Oryzias latipes: one gene and its partner. The protein of the gene in region 1 interacts with the protein of each later gene in a biochemical or structural test. Links are inferred from orthologs where the notes say so. Each region holds a gene or a part of one and is shown on either strand. Other genes may lie near its edges. The genes, in order: E3 ubiquitin-protein ligase Siah2 and rbbp8.

Region 1 (4,106 bases):
ACCATGCAGTGATCTCCAACCCTGTTCCTCGTGAGCTACTGCCCTGCTTGTTTTGCAGCTAACCCTGCTTCTGTAATTATTGGTCACCCAGATAGGGTGTGTTCAGTCAGTCAGAATCTGGGCCCACTCAATCCAGCTAATCAGGGTTGGAGATGCCTTATAAGAACTGGACTGAGTGAGTGTGACGTCACCCATAGAAAACGGCTTACTTCTGGAGTCAATTCTGGAGTCAATTCAGCCACCAGTTTTTCGCGATACAGACGCCACCATGCTGGAACCAGAAATGACCAGTAAGCAATGATTGGTCCGAATCGGTTTGAGTCTTGTATCTATGACAACCACTCTTTCCAATAAGGAGCGAGCTTGTTGAAAGTCTGCATCCCTTCCACTAGAAAGCGGGCTTGGGATAATCTGTCAATCAGATATATTGAACATGTGACATGAGACCACATGCTTTTACTGAGGACTCTGACTGGTCAGTTTATAACTTGAATACCTTGCAATAAAGAAACAAAAACATATTAAAAAGGTGGCAGCCATAGAATGATTAATCTGACAAATAGAATGACAGAGTATTTATTTTTCTAAAGAATCTGTGGTATTTTGTCTTGTTTTTGAACCAGCGGGTACTTCCTGTTTGGAACACGAAGGGGGATGGGTCACTCAGTACATATCATTGACGGTTTAATATGACAGGATGGATTGCATGTGATGTCACTCATAGAAAATGTCTTATTAATATTAATATCATTATTATAATTACTGACTTATTATTCACTTAATGTTGTGCTTTTCTAAATAATTTAAATTACATGTCAAAGAGGTCTAAAACTTATAAATGTTTAAAAATTATTTTTTTAAATTCTTTGTAATAATTGTTTTATTTGTAAGAAGTCCTGCAACTAGAAAGCGTTGTCATGTGGGCACCGACGACCTCACCAAGGTGGCGTAGCACTCCGCCACCATTGGCTAGGCTTCCGAAGTGGGCGTGTCTCCTCTCGCAATATAACTCATTGGTCCATGTCCAGTCAATAATACAATCACACACCCAGACAAATTGTAACAACCCAAGCAGGCAGAGAAGCATAATCTCTTTTCTAGATTCAGGGCCTATTTATTTGAAAACCACTTAAACAGTCAAACAGCATGGAGGTCACTTCTGCTCACAACGCCCTCACTCATGGTGAGGAACTTTACACCCAAGATTCCCCACTTCCCATGAGCCTTCGGAGCTGAAGGCAGGGCTAACCCCCAGGTCGCCACACTATATACATGCACACACACAAACTAATAATCACGTGCACACAAACATCAGTTAATATTTTTTATGCTTTTTTAAAAGCAGTATTTTTATGATCGTCCTGTTCTCCTTGGATCTTTTCTCCTTCAGCGGTTTTATTTAATATTTTTGGTCTCCAGGAAAAACATTCGTGTGAGGACACGCCTCCAGAGCTTGATTGGCTGACGCTCCTGCCATTCAGTCAGGAAGCAGCCAATGACAGCGCGCGGTCATGGTACAAACCGACAGCCGCCATGTTGGCTCTGCTGGGTCAGGTTGTGAGCGGCAGATGACAGAACCTCCGCTTCGGCCGCTCGTCGGACTAGGACCGCAGCTGGGAGCCATGAGCGGTCCGTCCTCAGCCGGAGCCGGAGGACTCGGGGCCGCGAAAGCAGGCGGGGGGAAGCACGGAGCCGCTTCAGCCGCCGCAGCTGCTGCCGCCGCGGCCGTGGCCGCCGGCGCCGGTGTGGGCTCTGTGGCCGGGTCGGGCTCGGCAGCATCTTCCTCCGTCTTGTCTCTGCCCGCAGCCGGCCTCCCCGGGCAGCCGACGGAACTCACGGCGCTGTTCGAGTGTCCCGTCTGCTTCGACTACGTGCTGCCGCCCATCCTGCAGTGCCAGTCGGGTCACCTGGTCTGCAACCCGTGCCGGCAGAAGCTGAGCTGCTGTCCGACCTGCCGCGGCCCGCTCAGCCCGAGCATCCGTAACCTGGCCATGGAGAAGGTGGCGTCCACCCTGCCGTTCCCCTGCAAGGTGAGCCGGCCGCCCAGCCCACAGTTCGGGTCCGCAGCGGTTCTGCAGTATCAACCAGCTTCTCTTTGTGGTCCAGTCGAACTTTTCTGAAACTCAGAGGGCAAACAGAATGACACAGAGGTATAAAACGTAAACAAACGAACCATCAAACTGAATGTTGCGTTCACTGTCTGAGATAACAGTAGGACATGTCAGTTTCAGGTTTTAGGAACCACAAACAATGGACCTATATTCTCTGACGTCACTTAAAAGATTACGAACGGAATTAAAGTGAGAATTCCTCCCCCCACTTCAATTTTTTGAGCATCTCCATTTGGCACAAAGTCAAGGGATAGATAAATCCACAAGTGACCTAAAACTATCTGTAGTTTAATAAAAGGCACCCTCACCCCATACCGACATTTCTGTGTAGGATGTCAGAAGGTCATTTCTGCTGTCATGTTGGATTTTTGTAAGATGGGAGTTGATGGGAAACCAGCCTGCTGTGGTCATTTGAGGAACTGCAACCTTCCCCGGACTGGCATTTAGGCACAAAAGGTAGGGGGGTCTAGGTGGGAACAGGGGCGTGGAACGCCGTGTTCCCCCCAGACGTTGTACCTAAAACAGCGGCTCAGGTTCTGTCACGGACTCGTTAAAGTTAAATGAGGGGATCAGAGCTGAAAGGTGAGTCTTGACCTCACCTGATCAGGAGGAGGGGCTGAGGGAGGACACCTGATGCTTCAAGGTGAAGACACCCTCTCTGCTGCATCAAGGCTCACACCTGAGGCAGAAGCACGATCAGGAAGTCAAGGGCAGATGTTTTAGATGACGGAGGCCTCGCTCTCACAGGTTTAGTTCTCTGGTCCGACTTAATTCAGGAATTTGGATAAGATGTTTTGATCTGGATCATGGTGAACGTGTGCACATGTCTTGTAGTTGTAGAGCTTTACTGTAGGCCCTGGTCCGTAAGGTTCTGCTTTGAGCCTTGTTCTAGCTGTTCTGCTGTGAAGCTTCTTAAACCAAACTATCTTGAAGTTGCCTCTGGATGGGAGTTTGTGCTTCACACCTCAGGTTCTTGAAGCCTTCAGGTTCAGACAACAGAGTGTTCTCTTTGTGTTTGTTTATGATGTATTTGGTCAGTTGCTTTCATTTTGGAAAAAGTTCCACCCCTTAAACGGTCTACGCCCATCATTCTTCAATCTAACCAATCAGAAGTGGTTATCGTCTTCACTTCCTCGTTCCGTGGCTCAAAGTCTCTCAGTTCCAACAAAAACATCCCCTCAAGATCGAGTTTAGCGCTGTAGCTTCCCATGGGATCCGGTGTTAGATCATTTTAAAAGTGAATAAAATAACAAAGCTTGGAGACGCTGGTCTGTCCGGCATCGATACCGCAGCACTACATCTCCCATGATTCATTGGGTTAATGTGACAGCATCTCCTCCGGTGCTGCTGTTAACTGGCATGAAGCAAACGCAGAAATCTGTTCCGTTCTAACGGTTGGAGAATCTTCTTGCTAAAATCAGAGGTAAAGGTTTGTGTTGGAGCCCAAGGAGTCATTAACGGCCAGAGGTTCCAGTCTTTTTAGTCTAAAGTCATCTTTAGATCAGAAACAGCTGCTTTCTAATAATGTCTGTTTGAAAGACAATTTCATATTCAGACTTCAGTCACTTTTCAAAAAAAAATCTAAACGGCAAAAAATGTTTGTTTTTTTATCTTTTAAATAAATAAAACCTTTTTTTTTAATTTATTTAGACAAAACAATTGTGCTTTTTTAAAGTTCCAATTTAACTTATAACCCTGAATATAGTGCTATAGTGTTTTTTTATGAATGTATTCATGCTGTGGTTACATCATTTACAGTTGCTCTTGCACAAAGGAAATGAACAAAATATTTAATGAATTAACCCTGTTTAAAAGGAACGTCGTGGTTTTATTATTTTTTTTTTTACATTTTACTAAATCGTATCTTAATAAACTGGAGGATACAACACTGCTTGAACATCCCCATACAGCCTTTAGTTGAAACAATTAAACTATCCCAACTTGTGGAAAAATCTGTTGCAACTTCAAGCGTTTTGTGCTGCAAGTGTTACAAAA
Region 2 (4,722 bases), on another chromosome or scaffold:
GCTTCTCCTCGTAACGGACGTGTTTCTGCTGGGCGACCTGTTTGCGCTTCCTCAGCTTGTTGGCGGGCGGCAGCGAGCTGGGCAGGACGGGCGAGTCGGGGATGAAGCCGTCGTCTTGCTCTGAGGAGGAACTGACAGGAAACAGCGGCGTGTCAGCGGGAACTGAAGCCGAGGTTCACGTGAAGCACTCAAACGCATCACCAAGCCAAGAGAACGCAACGTTCAGCAAAGTGAAAATACAGGAAGATGTTTAGAAACCAAAAATGAAGAGAAAAAAAATAAGACACGTTTCTGTGATAAATTTTAGAGAAAATATTTTTATTTATTTAAATGTTACCATTAATGAGGAAAACATTTTTAGATATTGAAATAAAATGAAGGCGTGAGCAGCAGACGCTACACGCCTCTGCCCTCGCCATCCTATGATGGCTGAGCGGCTGCTACCCCCCCCCCCCCCCCCTTACTCTCCCTCTGCCACCCCAGTCAGAGCCACATAACAAATTCATGAAAACTAAAAAAAAAAAAGGAGCCTTCGGTTGGTTTTGCCTCCATAGCAACCATTTTAATTTTTTGTCGCCTGGGGGTGACGAACATGTTTGAGTCACGTTTAGAAGAACAGGCAAAAATAATTTTTTGGGATTTCCTTAGCAACAGAGGTTTTTTGTTAACCACCCTCGCATTCCTAATATGTTCAATCAGACATTGTTTTTGTTCAGCCTGAGCTGTCGACTCGTGTATTTTCACAATATTCCAGTAAAAACTATGTGAGCAACAGGGAAACGCCATTTTGGCAAACTTGCTACGCTAACGCCATTCAAAATCTACATCTTCCACACACGTGTGTTTTGGTTTGTTACTTTTTTTTGGACCCATAAGAGACTTTGGCCCCAAATGCCCAAAAGTCATTTTGACTGGGTACTAGGTAAATGCAAATTTAGGTACGTTTTGGGAAGGTTGGAGGCAACATTTTCCCTGAAAGGAAGAAGATTTACAGAAAACTCACCACGATGCTTTCAGCTTTTGTATCTCAGCACGGAGTTTCCTGTTTTCATCCTGCAGGTTGTTTCTTTCAATTCCTGAATAAGAAGTTAAAAGTTTCTCAGCACCATCATTCCAAGACGGCTGTCCTCCACCTCCATCAGCGCTTCATCAAACAAAAAGGGAAAAGCCGCAGCAACCGTTTCCCCTCCAGACATGATTGGCTGCAACTGAAAGCCGATCCACCTCCCACATCCTCTTTTGATTTTATTTTAAAAAGATGGTGCACGTGTTTTTATTTTTGAGAGGAGCTCCTTCTGGGACTCACTCAGTTCATCAAGAAGTCTGAGATTCTGATCCAGGCTGCTCTTCAGCTTTTCCTCCAAGACAACACAACGGTCGCACTCTCCTGCTCTGAGCCTGAAAAACAAAGAACAACAAAACTTTTGTTTTTCTTGCCTCTCTTTAGCAAACTACCCCCCCTTTGGTGACCCCAACACCCAGACCGGAGCACCCTCTGTTGATTGAGCAAAACCGGATGATCAAACGTAGCCGGTTCTGTTGGTCCAGAGTGTGACAAACGCTGGAGGATGTTACCTTTCCTCTAGGAGGTGGATGGTGTCGTGCAGGGTTTTGTTCTCCTCCTTCAGATGCTGGTTACGGTTGTAAAACACCTCAAGTCTCTGAGCATCTCTGCAACAAACAAACGTCACTTTGACTGCCATTCCTTAACTATGAAGGAATGCGTTATGATTATTGGCGTTCCTTAAAACAAAAATCCATCAGGACTTACAGGCAGCGGTCCTTTTTCAGCCGGCTCACCTTTGCTTCCAGCTCTATGGGAAAAAGTTATTCCCATAGAAAAAGTTATTATTATTTATTCTTATTTTGTTTAAGAGTTTCTGCAGTAAATTACCAAATTGCATGTAATGCTTTCAGTTGCCAATTCCTTTTTTTTTTGTTTGCATTTTTATGCCATTGATTGAATGCAAACAAACCAGCATCACATTTTTACTCATTTACTAAGGACTTGTTACCTTTTGATTCAATTCTGGCTCCGTGTGTTTTAGTTTATCCTTCCTTTAGCTCTGAACAAAAGCAAACAATGCTTCTTCTACAGTTTTATAGGTGAAGTGTACATTTCTGCTAAAGTACAGGTAAAAATCACCCATTTATTTGTACACTAATAATTATTTTTATTGAAAACATATTGTAATAACACTGAAAATAAAATTTAGTGTTTGTTTTTTAACTTTGTTTTAAAAATGCAGGAGATTTCAGGCTCACGCAGATGACGTCATGGCCGGTAAAAGCCGGATCTGCACTACACTGCTAATCTAAAAAAAAACTACACTGCTTAATCTTTTTGTAATTATTGTTAATAATTAAAATCTTCCTAAGGATGTAACACGTTTTTTCTGTATTCAGAATTGTAATGTACATTATATGTACATAATTGTTGCATTTTTTTTTGTTCTGGATGTTGCAATTGGTCAATAAAATAAATAAAAATTAAAAAAACTACACTGCTTAATCTGTTCTTGTGTTTTTATACAGCTAGAATTGTCTTTTCTAAAGAAAATCCATACTTGTTTCCTGATCCATTCCTTGTTTATCAGTGTCACTCCTTGCCCGATAACCAGCAGTCGTTTACCTCCAGTCACGTGATGATGACACTCTCCCAGCTGCCGCCACAGATCCTCAAAGGGATCAGCTGCTTTGATCGTCCCACTGCTGTCACCTGATCCACTCATCTTTCACACCTCTCCGCAAACAGCCCACATAATTTAAAGAAAAAAATAAGATGGACGTGAATATTTATTTGTTATTAAACGCCATGTCAGCCTCCAGTACATAGAAAAGTGTATTTATAGAACTTCTAGTAGTTCAGTAGAAGTTTTACAAGTATTAGTTTTTCAAACCCACTATTTTGTTCCAAACAACGCGGTGAATTTAAACGCAGCTTTTCACAAACGTACTTACAAAAACTGAGCTGGTTGAACGCCGAAACACGGCAGACTTGTTCCTTCGTGAGCTCTCTCCTCAGACTTTCATCTCGCATTGAAAATCCATTGAAATTTCCGCGCCGAAGAAGTGCATGCTGGGAACTCTTCTTTGTGGCCCTGAAAATGTAGCAGACTGGACGCTCGAGCGCCTCCTGCTGTTCAAAGAGTGGTGGTTAAAAGAATCGCTGATGATGAACATCAAATTTAGTGGAAACTATTTTTACCACTTCGGTTTGATGTATGAGGACTTAATCTATTTTTTTAACTATTCAAATAAATATGTTGCCAAATTTCACAAATATGTTTTACCCACAGCAATAAAAATATATAATTTAGTTTTAAGGAGAAAACATTTATTCCATTTCAATTCTTTATTGGCCTTTACAGAGTTAATAATGGCTAGCCACAGGGGTTGCAAGCCAGTTGCCTCTGTGCCGGTCCCAAGCCCGGATAAATAGAGAGGGTTGCGTCAGGAAGGGCATCCGGCGTAAAAATTGCCAAAATAACCATGCGAATCATCCACAACACTTTAGACATACCGGATCGGTCGAGGCCCGGGTTAACAACGACCGCCACCGATGCTGTTAACCTACAGGGTGTCGGTGGAAATTTGACTACTGTTGGTCGAAGAAAGAGGGGAGGCAGAAGGGCCCGTGGCCAGAGAGAGAAGGGAAAAGGCAGGAACATAGGTTTGAGAATAGGGACTCTTAACGTTGGCACAATGACAGGGAAAGGCAGAGAGCTGGCAGACATGATGGAGAGAAGGAAGGTAGATGTACTGTGTGTGCAGGAGACAAGGTGGAAGGGCAGCAAGGCACGTAGTATTGGAGGAGGATACAAACTGTTCTATCATGGTGTTGATAGGAAGAGAAACGGGGTAGGAGTGATTCTGAAGGGGGAGTTTGTAAACAGTGTTCTAGAGGTGAAAAGAGTCTCAGACAGGATGATGAGCTTAAAGTTAGAAATCGAAGGGGTGATGGTGAATGTAGTCAGTGGGTATGCGCCACAGGTTGGCTGTGAGTTAGAAGTGAAGGAGAGATTCTGGAGTGAGTTGGATGAGGTCATAGAGAGTATCCCCAGAGGAGAGAGAGTTGTTATTGGAGCAGACTTTAATGGGCATGTTGGTGAGGGCAACAGAGGTGATGAGGAGGTGATGGGCAGGTTTGGTGTGAAGGAAAGGAATCTGGAGGGACAGATGGTGGTGGACTTTGCGAAGAGGATGGAAATGGCTGTAGTCAACACTTACTTCCAGAAGAGAGAGGAACATAGAGTGACATACAGAAGTGGAGGTAGGAGTACTCAGGTGGACTACATCCTATGTAGACGAGGTCATTTGAGAGAGGTTATTGACTGCAAAGTGGTGGTAGGAGAGAGTGTAGCCAGACAGCACCGCATGGTGGTGTGTAAGATGACCCTGGAGGTCAGGAAGAAGAAGAGAGGGAAAACAGAAAAGAAGACCAAGTGGTGGAAGCTACAGAATGAAGAAACTTGTGAGGAATTTAGGCAGAAGTTGAGACAGGGTCTGGGTGGTCAGGATGAGCTTCCAGATGACTGGGAAACTACAGCAGAGATTATCAGGGAAACAGGTAGGAAGGTGCTAGGTGTGTCATCTGGAAAGAGGAAAGACGGTAAAGAGACTTGGTGGTGGAATGAGGAAGTACAGGAATGCGTCCAGAGGAAGAGGTTGGCTAAAAAGAAGTGGGATGTAGAAAGGACTGAGGAAGGTAGACAGGAGTAC

The links.
Region 2: the proteins of E3 ubiquitin-protein ligase Siah2 (region 1) and rbbp8 form a complex in vitro, tested with the Homo sapiens proteins (2 studies listed by BioGRID). The link is inferred for Oryzias latipes from reciprocal best matches to the Homo sapiens genes SIAH2 and RBBP8.

The regions. Positions count from the first base shown.
Region 1 is NC_019872.2:23,479,506-23,483,611, reverse strand, and holds the start of E3 ubiquitin-protein ligase Siah2, read left to right. Parts: upstream 1-1,306; 5' UTR 1,307-1,511; coding exon 1,512-2,030; intron 2,031-4,106. UniProt on the Homo sapiens protein: E3 ubiquitin-protein ligase that mediates ubiquitination and subsequent proteasomal degradation of target proteins.
Region 2 is NC_019878.2:11,812,427-11,817,148, reverse strand, and holds the start of rbbp8 (DNA endonuclease RBBP8), read right to left. Parts: upstream 3,090-4,722; 5' UTR 2,962-3,089; intron 2,757-2,961; 5' UTR 2,733-2,756; coding exon 2,633-2,732; intron 1,815-2,632; coding exon 1,772-1,814; intron 1,672-1,771; coding exon 1,576-1,671; intron 1,399-1,575; coding exon 1,307-1,398; intron 1,077-1,306; coding exon 1,004-1,076; intron 132-1,003; coding exon 1-131. UniProt on the Homo sapiens protein: Endonuclease that cooperates with the MRE11-RAD50-NBN (MRN) complex in DNA-end resection, the first step of double-strand break (DSB) repair through the homologous recombination (HR) pathway.